Linked DNA regions of Oryzias latipes. The protein of the gene in region 2 purifies or fractionates together with the protein of the main gene of each other region. This does not show direct contact. Links are inferred from orthologs where the notes say so. Each region holds a gene or a part of one and is shown on either strand. Other genes may lie near its edges.

The links. Proteins that work in one complex are often made in the same cells at the same time.
Region 1: the proteins of usp4 (region 2) and dcp1b purify together in Homo sapiens (co-immunoprecipitation; 3 studies listed by BioGRID and IntAct, with this or other methods). This does not show direct contact. The link is inferred for Oryzias latipes from reciprocal best matches to the Homo sapiens genes USP4 and DCP1B.

What each region holds. Positions count from the first base shown.
Region 1 is NC_019881.2:14,483,074-14,490,873, reverse strand, and holds part of dcp1b (mRNA-decapping enzyme 1B), read left to right. Parts: intron 1-86; coding exon 87-127; intron 128-308; coding exon 309-436; intron 437-2,583; coding exon of another isoform or gene 2,584-2,707; exon of another isoform or gene 2,708-4,346; intron 4,347-5,208; coding exon 5,209-5,275; intron 5,276-5,387; coding exon 5,388-5,553; intron 5,554-5,715; coding exon 5,716-5,814; intron 5,815-6,205; coding exon 6,206-6,983; intron 6,984-7,759; coding exon 7,760-7,800. Other genes in the region: voltage-dependent L-type calcium channel subunit alpha-1C, read right to left, coding at 2,584-2,707. UniProt on the Homo sapiens protein: May play a role in the degradation of mRNAs, both in normal mRNA turnover and in nonsense-mediated mRNA decay. May remove the 7-methyl guanine cap structure from mRNA molecules, yielding a 5'-phosphorylated mRNA fragment and 7m-GDP.
Region 2 is NC_019863.2:3,083,867-3,091,666, forward strand, and holds part of usp4 (ubiquitin carboxyl-terminal hydrolase 4), read right to left. Parts: intron 7,110-7,800; coding exon 6,982-7,109; intron 6,884-6,981; coding exon 6,753-6,883; intron 6,673-6,752; coding exon 6,546-6,672; intron 6,465-6,545; coding exon 6,319-6,464; intron 4,548-6,318; coding exon 4,486-4,547; intron 4,343-4,485; coding exon 4,193-4,342; intron 3,583-4,192; coding exon 3,468-3,582; intron 3,336-3,467; coding exon 3,162-3,335; intron 3,070-3,161; coding exon 2,911-3,069; intron 282-2,910; coding exon 57-281; intron 1-56.

The DNA.
Region 1 (7,800 bases), on a different chromosome or scaffold from region 2:
AGCAACCTAGGATGTTTAATAAAAAACAGAATTAAAATACACATTTGTCCCCCACTTTTTTTGACGTGATTGTTGTTACTTTTCAGGAGAAGACGGAAGTTGAAGGCACTCTTTTTATTTACACAAGGTAAAGAAAAGACCTAAAGTCTGTGATTAGGGTTTATTTGAGGTCATCCATTGCATTCAATTATTTTATTTTTATTTTAATATCAATTAGGGAGATAATGTACCACTGTGTGTAATACCTTGTTTTTTCCTGAGTTTTGATAGTTATTATTTTTGTCATTTTGCATGCTGTTTTAATTCAGATTGGCATCTCCAAGACACGGATTTACCATTATGAACCGTCTCAGCATGGACAATCTGACAGAGCCGATCACAAAAGACTTGGACTTTCAGCTTCAGGACCCTTTCCTGCTTTATCGCAACGCACGATGTAAGTCAGAATATATAAAAATAGCCCACAGATTTCCAGTTTCTGTCCTATTCTTTCAGCGTTTGCTGTGCATGACAGTCTTAAATACAATGCAAGCTGCTGCATTACATATTTTAGTTATTGCTGTGACCCTCTTCCTCTGGAGTTTATTGCATAAACAGATGCATATTATTAAAATCCTAATATATGAATAATAATAGCAATTAATTAATGGTTGTTTACATGTGTTTCAGTATATTTATTTTCTTAGCATAGGTCAGTTCGGGCCCACATAACCAAAGATCATAGTTAGATTTTTATGGGTTTTTTTTATGGACCTAAAATGTTTTACTAAGCCATAATTACTATGTTTATTTCTTTTGAATAGCACACAAAAGTGCAGGGTATTAGAAATGCTAAAAGAATGACATATCTTCAAAAAAAATGTTGTTGCGTCAAACGCAGCCGTATTTTTATGACTAAAACATTATTTTGACATCAAATAAGATAGGAAGGACCACGTTAGTGACTGGTGGATGAATCGGTGACTCCATTTAAGGTGTTTCAGCAGAGTTATTTCAGTTTGTTTTATCACCAACTCTCTGAGACCTGCATCGGGCGCTCTCACACACAATCACATTCTAAAGTGTGCCTGTGGGACAAGAGTCTGACAGCACCACAAAAGCAGCCAGCTGAGATTAGATACACTTCCACAGTCACTGATAATCTAAACACACGCTAGCTTAGAAGTAGCTGACGAGCACAGAGAAGGCTCCTGTCGTCTTGGCCTCCCCGTCATATACAATGACATGCAGCCGGATCTTTGTACTGAAAGAAATTGTTTGGTTTATTCATTTTTGTTATTTTACATTTACTTGGAACATGGTGAAACAGAAAGCACAATATTTAGACTTTCTATTCAGAAGCTAACAAACACAAAATAGCCGGTTTGCGGTAGGAGCATCTGCAACAAGGAACAGATTTGAACCGACTCGCTTGTGGGAAGCACGAAGCGTAAAAACACTTGAAACCAGTAATCAGGTTACAGCTGATTAGTGTGTCTGCTGTTACAATGAACAGATTAGATTGGTTTATGTAAGTAAATGAATGGTGGGTTCAAAGCAAACGTTATGGTCAAGCATAATGTTAGTTTGCTCTGATTGCTCTGGTTTAAGATGAATAATAAAAGAGCTCAAAAGTAGACATGAGTAATGGTTGTTATCAGACTGATTTTTATCAGTGTGTCTCCTAGGATTTAGAGGAACTGTTTGGCTTCAAAGAGACTCTTTGCGTTTGTAGATGTGACACTGTAGAACCAAATTTACAGAGCGGCCATAAGCTAATGTACATAAGAGGATAAAAAGAAAGATCAAGTGAGACCCATCAAAAGTAATACCCCCTACCCTATAATAGCTGCTCAAACTAATGTTTACCAAATTTCTACATAGATGACATAACGAAAGAACACTTTTAGTAGACAGAAAACGTGGTTTTATTGGAGAAAATGTGATTTATAGCTTGCTGGCATTAGTGTGCCAGTGCATTGTGACCTCTTGGTGGAGGGGTCGTGGAATCTTATCATTAGATAAACATGTCGGCCTAAGTGCTGCCGCAACTTCCTGGAACGGTGGTTGGCACAAAGTGGCAGCCCGGGCTAAAAATGAACTGCGTGGATAGGTCACAGAACAAAAATGTTTGGACAGAACAAAATGCTATTTTTCCAGCCTGAAGCCTTCAAGTTTAATTTTTTTTATAAGTCTTTACAGCTGTTTTTTTTTTTTTAGTCACACCAATATTCTAAAAAAAAATTAGTCTTTCAGCTCTCAATTTCAGTATACAGTATTTTTTTTTCCACGGATCTGTCTTATTTTCTTTTAATGTTTCTGTTCAGTGTTTTTTTTTATTTTCTAAGAATATAAAGAAATATATAAAGAAATAAAAATAAATGTCTCACATGAACATTTTTGACAGTATTGATGTTTTTCAGCAGAAATTACTTGAATTCTTTTCTCTAAATCTAAAATTGATATGCAGCATTGTTTAGTTTCTGGTTATTCTGTTGGTCATTTTATTTATATTTTGTGTTATCAGCTGCACCTTCACGCATATGTAGATCTGAGCCGACACATCCTGAGACCATTTTTAATGTGTTGTCTGTAGATTCTTACCTCCAGGTCGGACGTATGTATATCCCAGGTCTCTCTCTGACACCAACAAGCCCTTAAATCGGACTTCAGGTTCCTCCTTCAGCCTCTCATGTTTCGGTTTTCTCTGAAACAGACCTCTAATCATGGTTTCTGTCTTTCTCCACTTGCATAGAAATAATCTTGAATTAAAAGAATCCACAAAGTCCTCCTGCAGGTTCGATAAAACAAAAGTGTTTCTTCTTCAGAAGAAGGTGGTGCAGGATTGGTTTAGTCAGCCACAGGAACGGTGGTGCTCCCTCCTTTCATTTGAACCTGAGAGGCAGCCGAGATGCCTGCATTCCAGCCGAAGATGCAAAATCGACACAATAATCTCGTCTTTCCTCCGAAGTTTCAGAAGCCGTACATGTCAGTGTCTACTCCTCCCACATTGTCATGATTCCATTCCTCCAAACACAGTTAGTGTGTTTCATGTAAGGAAAGCTCTATAAGGATGTGTTTTAACTATTAGAACAGTCTAACCTCCACCAGGAAACAGTGAGAATGAAATGATAGTGGTCATCATGACAAATAGTTGAACATTTAATCAAAAACGTGACCTCATAATGCAGCCATAAACTGTCTCTGGCAACATTAGTCCTTCAAAAATGTAAGTTATAGTAAGTTTAAGCGGAATAAAAGTCTTAAATTTATCTTAAGGTTCCCTTTGTGTTGCAGCTCAACACAACCACCGTGTTGCTAAATCCCATCTAAACGTGCTTTTTCAGATACATACAGATAAACACGCAAGTCCCGTGACTTTTACTGTAGAGGAGTCATCACATATGCTCACTGTTTTGATTAAGTCCGTGTCCCGAAGGCTTTAAGGAGCGGATCTCGCAATCACAGAGTTTTGCTCCAACTTTGAAGTACAATCTCTGGTGTTATTAGTTAAACACTGCCGCTAATTTACTCTTCCTGGTTTCTCATTCGGGTGGATTTGGTTCTTGGCTCCAGATTTTAAATACTCCTCTTTCTTTTTCTTCGTTCTCTTCAGTGTCCAGTGAGTAGAATGTATCCCCCCGCCTCCTCTTTTTCCTTCTGCTCAGATTTTGGTACTGGTGGTTCCTTTTCCCGCCCTCCTGTGTCAATTTTGCTCTTTTCAGCCTTTTTTGTGCTCAGAAAGCCACCGTAGCTGTTTATCTTTAGTCAAAAGCATTTTCTGCGATTTTTCAATCGTGTCCTCTTTACTTTTGACCAGTCTGTTTGTTAGTTTATAGCTGAGGTGTTGCAGGACATGATCCTGCTTCAGACATGTCACAGTGTAGTCGTGTTTTTAGAATTCATTACATGGAGATTTTAGAACGACGTGTTCCTTTTCTGAAGGACTAACACACCTGGTAAAACTTCCTTGTTTCTCTCTCAGCGTCTTGCTCATTTTTGTTTTCTATTTTCCGGCTCCCTGACTTCGACTGTGTTTCTCTGTCCCCTGTGAGCACTCAGTTGCTCCCACTCCACCAGTCAGTCCCCCTCTGCAGTTGCTTATTTGGTCCCGGGCTGATTTTTTCCCATGCTCAACTTAACTCTGTGTGTGTGTCTCTGCCTCCCCCCGCTGTCTGTTTCCTTCATCCACAGTGACCTCTGCGGTCGGTCGGTCTGTCTGTGGGAGAATATGGGCTGTCTGTGAAGCTCTCGCTTGAAAAGTTCTTCTGTTTCCTGTTTAATGCTGCATCGTATACAAGTTTAGAATGAGTTTAGAAAGTATATTAGCCTCTTGTGACCTTGCGTCCACATACGATGACATCACATTGTGGGTTTTATTTTCACTGTAGTTCATTCTGATTACCTGTGGGCCCGTGGCTACGAAATAAAAAAAGCTATCAAACAAGAGCTCGGGTCTAAAGAGGTTAAGATGTCAAATATTCTTTTTTCATCTCAGTGTCGGATTAAAGTTATTTCAAGTATCTTTCATTTTTTCTAAACTTGTAATTCTTTCCTTCTGTTTAAGTTTTCTAACATTTTACTCATAAACTCTTATTTTTCTTAAAGGTTTTTAACATTCAAAAGGCAGAATTTCCTTGTAAAAGTTCAATAAATGTTATATGAATGGAACTTATTAAGGGGTAAAAAGCAAATTACTATTTTCCTCACAGATGTTTTTATTTCATGCTGATCATTTTAATTTACACTAGGAAATAAAATAAAATAATTTTGATTTGCTAGCTGTCTTACTAGCTCTCTGATGTGCAGAATTCACATTTTTCCACATGCTCACTGAACATGTTTATGAAGCTAAGGCGCTTTCAGAGGCACATGTTCAAACGTCCAATGGGACTACAGGCTTCTTTCCACTTGATATGGAAACAGAATGATTTCTTCAGCAATGCTAATAGTTACATATCTGATGTCTGTTTAAATGTCACAGCATCAAAATTCAACTTTTGAAAATCTGCTTTGATTTGATTTGGTTGTAGCGGAAATGCTGCATCCATAAGCTCATTCTGCTGTCTGCTGACCTTTTTGTAAAATTGCATTTAAGAAAAAAACAGCTGGTCTGTTAACATGTTTTTGTTTTGTTTTTTGGCTGTGACTGTTCTTTTATTAGTTTTCTTTTTTTTAGTATAATATTAATTCAGAAATATAAGTCTCTTTTCTGTTTTGTCCTTTCAGTGGTTATTCATGGGATTTGGTTCTATGATAAGGAAGACTGTCAACGTGTTGCCCAGAGGATGAAGATGTAAGTAGTTTTGTGTTTAACGTGTTAATCTTTAGCAAAGCTGAAATTGTGTCGTGTTAAAAGAAATAAATATTTAAATGTAGTGATTTTTTTTTTTTTTGCGTCCTTCCAGTCTGACCCATCAGGAGCAGCTCCTGGCTCATAACCAGGATGGGTGGTTGTCACCAGGAAGAGGAAGAGAAGGAATAATAGGAGCTGGAAAAGGAGGAGGAAGCAGTAAAACAAAGCCAGTCGACATCATCCAGATGTTGACCAAAGCGCGCAGCGAATTCGACAAAGTATGCTACCTTCAAAGACTGAAAGATTATCAAACGAAACATCAGTTATCAGTACATTTTTGTCAAATAGATCAACAAAATGTTTCGCTTTGTTCATTTCTTTGTTGTAGTTTTTCTTCAAAATAAAAGAGCATGTACAGTATTTCCTCTTTGTTTTCTCAGGAAAAACCTCCCTCAGAACCAAAAGAGATTGGTGGGAGCAGTGTCCTTTTTGGAAACCCCAACCTCATCAAACCAATACCCGTTAAACCACACACTCAGGTATGATTACGTTTAGATTCTGTGTCTGAGTTCCAGTTTTTGCTTAAAACATTTTTTTTTTATGTAGCTTTTGGTCAGCTTTTATTCAGTGAAATACCTTATTTTTGTTTGGTTTCTCTAACTGACATCCATTACTTATTATATAATATTATATAATATAATATAATATAATATTATATTATATTATATTATATTATATAATATAATATTATATAATATTATATTATATTATATTATATTATATTATATTATATTATATTATATTATATTATATTATATTATATTATATTATATTATATTATATTATATTATATTATATTATATTATATTATATTATATTATATTATATTATATTATATTATATTACACATTTCCTTTTGTTTAAATCTAGAGCAGTGAGGGTTCTGAGCCCAAGGCTCTTTCTTTGGCGACCCTGTTTGGATCTCAGCATCACACACCGCACTCCTCTATATCTGCTCCCCCTCCTGCTGGGAGGGCTGCCACAACCACAGGAAAAGTCTCTCGCCCCCCGGTGGCTCGCACTTTGACCTACGACGATGCGGTCACCTCAGCTGTTGGACACATTGCTCTTGCCGGGGGCTCAGATGGAGATGTCAGGCCACTACCTGGTGAAGAGAGTGGAAACGTTGTAGCTGTTCTGCTCAGTCCCTCCCCCTCCACTCAACCTCTGCAGAACGAACCCCAACACTGCCCGGCCATTGCAAAGCTGATGCAGGGCCAGAGGAGTGTTGGAGGCGGCCTGCAAACCGTCTCTGAGTCCCCGGAGAACCGACTGTGTGATAATGGGGTGCCCCTGGACCAACACCACCACCTGTATCATCATCACCATCAGCAGCACCACCACCATCATCATCATCACCAGCAGCAGCAGCAGCTTCACCATGATCCAATAAAGAAGCTTTTTCAAAGTCATTCACTTCCTCAACTGGCCACCACCTTTTCCTCCGCTGTCCGGCCCACCGCTTGTTGCTCCAATCCACCCCCTCTTCAGGCTCACTCTCACCTCTCCCCCCATTTTGTAGCAGGAGAGTCTGCCTCGTGCCCCCACCTTCAAGTACAGCAAAGCCAGCAGCTGTTTTTCAGACTTCCAGAGTCCCAAACAGAAGAACAGCACAGCAGCCAAACAGCAGCAGCTTCACTGGGAACAGGTGAGAAATGGTTTCTGCCGCATCACATAAACAAAAGCACGACATCCCAACATGTAAAACGAATTTACGTATATAGTAAACCCATTTTAAAACAAATTTAATACTTAATAGTTGGAGCAAATTTATAAAAATGAGATCACCTTTACTGACAAGGATTATTATTCTACTTTCAAAATGTTAATTCATCAATGTTTTAAGCAACAAACACTCCAGGTGTTTGATGCCAATTCAAGAACGAGTTAAATGGGGCTTCTTCAACACATTTAGCCCACGGTGTTCACGCTGAACAATCAGGGAGGGACTTCTTCTTTTTCTTCTTTTTTTCTTTTTGTTCCATTTACTAGTGCATGTCCGGACTCCAACTGTCATTATTCATTTCTCATGATCAGTTTTTCAAACCGTGGGCACCTCAATGAATTATAAGGGTCTCCATCCATACAGAGTCCCTGATTGGTCAAAGTTCGACCTGGTTTTACTTGCAAGATGCATTCAGTAGCCACGTACATAAAGCCTAAAATTGGTCGTGACAACTTGTGAAGCTTCGTGTGAACGCAAGAGTTTGCACATTTACATAGACTGTTCATTTAAAGTGGCTGCTTGAATGTTAGTGCTGAGGCCGATGTGAACCCAAGACCTTAACTGTCGGCTTCAGTTTCAGTTTTCAACGGAATGATGTAAAAGATTAGATTTAAACAATTATTTAATCATAGAGACAAGTTTCTTTTGCGCGTTTTAAAAGTATCTTTTATATATAAGTTCTGGCTCTGTTTTGTCAGGTCTGCCATCCCAGTTGCAGGGAGTGGTTTCACCTCATGAA
Region 2 (7,800 bases):
CACAGGATTCTCCCCGACTCCCAGTACAGAAAGGCTTTGGTATAACCAGGACTCACTTGAGTAGGTTTGGACTGAGGATCTGACCGAACCAGGAACACCTCCATGGTCCGGTCCTTCTTCATAGGCAGAGGCAATGTGAGGTAGCAGAACGGGTCAAAGGTGACCGACACCTTGGAGCACACCGGACACACCAACGTGGATTTAAAGAGTCCGTGGAAAATATCAACTATTACAGAGTCGTTGCGTAAGCGGTGGTTTTTCCAGGCCTCCTTGGCAACAATCTGCAATTCCACAACAATGGAAAATAGACATTAATAAGTTTCTAATCTACAGACAAAGTGTGAAATCAGAGGAGAACAACACAAAGTTGAAATTGTTCCTTTGGTTCCATAAGAGAGTGCAGACTTTCCAAACTAAAACACATCCAATTCTTGCATCATTTTTGAATTTACACTTTTGGTTTTTTTTAGATACCAAAGTGGGTAGAAATGGAAGATGAATGTCCCAGAATAAACCTCCTCAGGTCTGATAACAACACATTCCCACCACGGACGCACCAGGTGGACATAAATGGCCTCTCTGGCACCATCATACATTTGGCATCGAGTGCAGTTCATGGTCATTTCTCCCCATATGGACGGTGACTTTGGATTAATGCGGAGGGTTGCCGTTTAGTGAGAAATAAAGAAAACTCAAAGGGCTGCTGTGGAAACTAATGACACAAACATTCAAGATGTTCCTGCTGAACCGGAATCTAGAGGAACGATAAGATCCAGCTCTGACAGCAATCAGAAAGGCTTCAACAGGACAGAGAGGAAAAAAAAACATTCATGTAATCCACAAAGATTTCAAAATGTTCAGAAGGTCGCGTCAAAGTCCTGCTGAAGCTCTCAACACACTGCTTCCTCATTTTCCTGAAGATGAGTGAGGAAAACAAGGATGCCTTCAGTTAGAAATGTCTGGAAAAAATGCTTTTATAAAAAATAAAATTAAAGATTGAACACAAATAATTTTGTGATGGGTAAGAATGTTAAATCTGATGTTGAAGATGATGATGACAAATCACAGCACCATGATGTGACATTGGTGCGATGTAAGTGAAGTGGTCGTGCTGCATTTGTCTCCAGCATTCCTCTGTCTGACAGCAAAAGTTGAGAAAGCGGTATGAGTGGAAAACATTTCATCTTAAACAAAAGGAGGACTTGGAGGCTCAAGAGGAGAAAGTCGGACTGCAAAAAGAGACAGAAGAAAAAGGAGAAGTTGGAGCTTGATTCCCAAATTGCTGCAGCAAGACCCTCTGTGGTGGAGGCCAGTGTGGTTGATGACACGGTCTGGATGGCATCAATAACCAAAGGTTTATAAGAACAAGGTCAGGAATTAGATTGGAGCTTAAAGAAAAGGACCTCACATTCTGAAGCTGCAAAGATGCCACTAACTTCCTACCAACAAGATGTAAGACCAAAGACAAACACAAGCCCATTTCCTGAGGAGAAACTTCAACCCAACGGAGTCACACAAATCACCATTTTTCAAGTGGTTATTTGAAATGAACACTCACACTTTTCTCTCTCGTTTAAACTTTCAAAGCTCAAACATTCACAGAGAAATAAGTCCAGAATAATCAAATGTTAAGTAAAGTCTGATCTTGATGAAGAGGAATGTAACTCCAGCGAGCTGCACGTGCCGCATTTCTGTACAGAAGTTGTTGGACAAGATCAGCCATTCAGGAGGCAGAACACAGTGAAATGCATCTCGAATGCAACACTAAAACTCCACATGCAACTCATGAAAAGGCAGAATGAAACCAAAACAAAGTGTTTACAATGGTTAATGTCACGAGCTTTCCACTTCCTTTTGATAGAAATCCATTCGTATCATTTCTTACACCAGAGCTTTTGAACACTGAGGATGAGGAAGGAAATAAAGGTTAGGAGGACTTCTGAACAACAGATCAAGGGCAGCAAAGAGGTCAAAAGAAGCCGTCTTCAAATGAGGGTTCACGAGGCCAAAGTGGTTTTTGAGAGAACAATTGGAAAACTAGGAGCTGCATTTCCAGAAGAAGATGCAGGGTTGATGCTATATTGCTGAATGAAAATGAAACTTAAAGGGTAATAATTGGCACAAAATAATTTAAAGAAAGAAAGAAATGATCAAAGTTGACCATAAATCAAGTGAAAACAGCACAATAACAAAAAAGATATTTTGTGAAAAATGCCAGCGCCGGGTCTCGAACCAGGGAGCCTCTGCACCAAGGATTCCCCATGGATTTCCATGGAGGCAAAAATCCTGGAATATCTGGAAAAGTTCAAGGATTTGAAGGATCAAAAGTCACAGCTGGAAAAAGCTGAAAGAGCTGAACTTTAATAGTTGAACGGTTAAAATAGATGGAAAATTATAAAGTTAAAGAGAGAGAGAGTTAGAGTTAAGCGGCAAAAAATGGTGAAGATAATTTAACGAAGACATAAGGAGAAACAGGAAAACAATGGGTTGAATGTTTTCTAGCATTCTGGATGTCAGTAGAATCAGATACTAAATCCGGCTTTAATTGTAAAGGAACGTCCCTTAATTACAAACATCGTGCATTAAAAAGACTCAGAGGGAAACGAATGGTTTTGATGACAGAAAGCCGTTCTCCTTCAGGTAAAGGTGTCAAAGAAGAATAAGCCGTATTCTGTGGGGGGGCGACAGGGGACACACAAACACAGAATAATTCTGGAGCACTTTCATCACCCGTTTCTGTAACCACTGCACTGAGGAGGACAACATCTGCCAACACCAATTGGTTGTTACTGACACCATCCAGGATAACTTGTGTGGACAACCATCTTCAATCAGAATCAAAGCTCATCTAGATGAGCTGGTTACAACCCGGGGAAAAAAACCATCATGCGAGTATTGAAAGAGTTTCACCTCGTCTTCACGGCCCTCGGCATCTCTTAGGGCGAGGTAAGGCTTCTTTTTGACACGGTTCAGATCTTCATGGAGTCCGTCCAGCAAAAAGGCCAGCAACTCTTGCGAGTCTTGCTGCTGGTACCCTGAAAACTGAGGAGCAAATCGCCCAACCTGCGTCTGGAGAGGAGGACAAACCACAACGGTGACTTCATAATCATTTTTGCCCTTTCGACATCCTTCCCTGAAATAGCTGCTTAAAAAAAACTCACTTTAAACGTCCGTGGTGCCACATAACTGCTGCGGCTCAGCCACATCTGCTTTACGAGGTCTGCGTAGGCCTCGGCGATCTCGCCCCTCATTCCCAGCGGATTCTCACGGTTAATCTCTGCCTCGTACTGGTCATCCAGGAAGTACTCTGTGAGGGGAGGTGCATTGCTCAGGCACTGGAGGCAGAGGGGAAGTTCAGAACAAGTTAATAATAATTACTCAAAAGGTTTAAAACAATGCTATTGCTTTAACATTTTTTAATTAAAAGACATTGGTTTAATAGGTTTTTTATTTCAGTTTTTAAATACCTGGAGAGCAGAGTTCATGAAGCATGTGTTCCCCAAATTACTGAGACCGCAAAGGCCAGGCTGTGCTTGGGATTCTCTGTAGCTGTACGAGTTATACGAGTTGTAGCTCCCCAACCTGTGTGGAGAAAAGATCTGTTACTCTTGTTCCCCGAAGGTTACAAAAACCTCACAAAGTTAATAAAAACAAAAATAAAGGACTAGCAGGCTCAAACTCTGGCACTTCTCAGATTTCCAGCATTTACAACTGATTCAATGTTTCATAGGAATGAATATGCTCCAGTTTTAACCAAATAAACTTAAACTTTGTAAAGAAAATCTTTTGTTTATTCATACAGATAAAGGGAAAAATGATCAAATACAACAGACTTAAAAAAAAGATATACATCATCATATTTATGCTCTGCTTTCCAAAGCAGAGCATAAATAATGAAATATTTAGTAAATATTTAATAAAAGCAAATACTTTTCAAACATCAAAAACAGCTTTACCAGTTCTTTTTTCTAAAGAGTGAACCCTGATGGCAACGTGTCTAAAACGTTAACCAATAAAACCTTCCAAATAAATAAAAACAAATAAAATAATCATGGATGGTTATCATATGATCACATAGCTACATAACTTCAGACATTTCATACTAGCTCGCTTAGAAATTGGTAACAAAATGTACAAATATTCCCAAACTTTGCAACTGAAGATAAGTGAGGTGAAGGAGGAAGTGTGGTACCTGTTGCTAGAGGAAGTGCTGCTGTTGTTTAGTGTGTATCCAGGGCTACAGCTGCTGTCTCCATTGGTTGCAGTTGGTGATATACTCATGGACGAATTTGAAGACAGCTTTGGGGAGGTAGAGAAATTTCTGGATGGCGTTGTACTGGATCTAACCATCAAAACAAAAACAAATTCTAACTTTGTAGATTCCAAAATCACTAACAATGTCTCTGCACATTCAAGCACGTCCAGCTGGGGGACTGGAGGAAACACATTTGTCTTCACCAACTAAAACAGTGGCCGTTTACTCACTTGGGGTGTGAAGCCTGTCTGGGCCAAGTGCCGTCCTCATTTCTGCGCTCGATCACAAGCACCTGTGTAAATATGCAGGGCTTCATAAACTTATTGTCGCACAAGACTTTTTTTAAAAATTAAATACTGAAAATGCAAAAGAATTTTACACCAACACAATTAATGTTTAAGGCATGATGTGAAAACGTGTTTGACTCTACTTCAAAGTTATGTGAACCAAAGAAGAATCCCTTTTCTGTTCTCCGAGACCATCATCCATCCACTTAACCCACTTTATCCCTTTCGGGTTGCTGGAATTGTCTCTGTTAACGTTGGGCGAAGGCCGGTACACCCTGGACGGATTGCCAGTCTGTCGCAGGCCACACACTCACTCACACACACCTGGTGATATTGTAGAGTAACCTAAATTGCCCTAAGAAACATGTTTTTGGACTATGGGAGGAAGCCGGAGAAAACCCACACATGCATGAGGAGAACATGCAAACTCCACACAGGAAGATCCAAGACGGGATTCAAACCACGACCATCAATGTTTGCAGAACCACACAATAAAAAAATGCTTACAATGCAGTGCAGCAGGATAGATGCAACAACTTTATGTCCAACCTCTCCCAACGGACTCAGTCAAATGTTGCACTTCAGGACTAGGGGTGTTAGAAAAAATTGATTCGGTAATATATCGCGATAGTTAATTTGGCGATACTTGTATCAATTCAAAATGCTGCCAGGACGATTTTTATGTAATTATTTCTGAACGTCCTTTAGTGCCTGACTCTTGTTTTCCACTTTGCCCTCCGACCGCTAGTTGGTAGCAGAGAACAAGGAGCCTCTTTGAGCAGCTCTACTCTGCACAAAACAGGAAGACCGCAGCTGGAGGCAGCTTGTTTCGTTGTTATGAGACATGAACTACTTAGTTTTTACTTGGGATGGATACCGAACTGAAGCTCTGTGCCATGTTGCTGCCCGTATCAACATGGTAACGCGGATTGTGGTGCTTTGTAGTGGACTCCGATAAGAACGACTGAAGCAGTGCAGCTGCACAGCGGCTGATAGGATAATGCACTTAGCATCAACCAAAGTGGGCCTGCAGAACCTCCCAGCAATGGATTCTAGTTTAGCGACCTGATCGAAAAAATGCTGACATCGAGGCGATAAGCGTTAGTTTATTTCCGCATGAGAAAGCGTGGCTGCAGTGCAGATGTGTAAACAAAGCATCTTCGCCACATTAAAACAACTCTCCTTCATCCTGTCACGCAGCGTCATCATCACACTTTATTGTTCCTGAAAGAATTAGTATTTTGTTTTTACCTTTATTTTTTCTGAACCGTTTCAAAGTACTGGAGAAGCTACATTAAGATATATTTAAAATAAAAAGCGCTTTATTTCCCCAATCATACTTTTGGAACATTATTGGTTAAGGCACATTCATTCTTTATTTTTAATATATTGAAATATATTTTGTTGTGGAAATCAGAAAATGTTGAATGTTCCCTTTCTAGATTTTAAGTTATCAAAACAAAAGCACTACAAATTTGCCTGGGTTAAAGCGACTTATATATGAGATACAGTTGCAGAACTTAACATTGTGATCATTAAATAAACTCAATTTGACCATTTTATTACAATGAAAGACGTATTGAAATTCAGGTAGAGTTTTTTCTAAGTCATATTTTTAAAAGAAAGAGAACAAATGTGTTCCATGACAATATCGGGATACGTATCCTATCGCCAGACTCTTGCCAATACACACCCCTATTCAGGACTGATTATGGGAGTGCATTAAACATGCGTAGCAGTTACATGTGTGACTTAAATCCTGCTGGTTTTCCTTACCTGTCCCTGAAAAAGCCCGGCGTCCTGTACAGTGCTGTCTGGCTTGTTCAGTTGCTCATAGGTGTTGCTCATGTATTTGTTCCAGAGTCTGGTCTCTTTCTCTGATGGGATTTCAAACAACGTCCGCATCTCCTTCTCTATAGTGTCTGAAAACATAAAAAGCATGATAAACAGTGAGAGGAGACGCTGCTTACCCGTGGCTAAAGTCAAAATTGTGATGACCTCACCTATAGTATCTGCTTTGCTAAAATGGCGTGTTACAACGTTGTCCATGTTGTCATTCTCACACAAGTTGAGCTCCAGCAAATAGACTTCCACTTTACAGTGCTTAACAAACATGCCATGCTCAACCACCTAGGGAAAAAGAAGGAGACATTTGGAAGAGCTGTCAACACATTCAGCATTATAACACAGCCCCATTTCTACGGCATTACCTTCCTGACGATGGGTCTTTGGCCTTCCAGACAGCCATACCAGCTGACAAGCTTATTCCACGCCTCAGTGGGCACTAAAACATAGTCCAGCTCATCTATGAGGTGCTCTTTAAGAGCTTGGGTCTCTTGGTCTTTAAAGAGAAAAACACGAGTACAACTTTTATCTGTCACGAATAAAGTAAAAATGAAAACCAACAAATGTTTATGTTTTTACAAGAAGCAGGTTTACCTGAGAACAGCCCCGAGTTATCAATTGGTCCTGGATAGAGGCTGCGTTCGCCAACGTTGTACATATCCCAACTGTCAAATCCCACATACTTTTTCCACTGTTTGAACCACCGACTGTCTATAAGAAACCTAAACGACAAAGGTGACCGGTTAAGAAAAACATCTATAGCACTTCATCACATCTGGGCATTCGGAATAGTTTGTCTTTTAACCTGCAGTTGTTTTATTTCACTTTAGTTTATCTGGATAGAAAAACATTAGGGAGCAAAGTGGTGGGTGGACACTGTACTTCAAGTTCTTACTTGGAACATTAAGAAACAACAAAGTACCTTAGCATTTACATATATAGTAACAGAAAGCCAGTTTGACTTAATCTAATGTAAAGAATCTCCTTAGGTTAATAGGCTTTCTCTGACTTATTTATACTGTTAAAAACCAAGTCAATCTCATGATTAACAAAACAAAATACAAGGAATAATAACCACACCCACAGACTAAGAATTTGCTGGCTTACCATGTTACATAATTACTTGAAGCCAAGAAGATAATATCTGATGGTGCAGTGCCTTCCTTTCACTTAGTCCGCCCTAATAGCATTTTTAGCTAATAAACTAATTAATATTACAAAGAAGTTCGAAGGAGCTAAAGCAGAAATGTCACTACTAACAGGACGTGGCGTTCTTTCTCATGTCCCAGTAGAAACTTACTTGCCACCTATAACAAAGTGCTTTAAGTTTAAGTAGAATGGGAGTCAATCAGAGGCCTACCCCGAACAACAACAGCCAGATCATCATGATCGGCTGGCTTCAATACTCCCCAA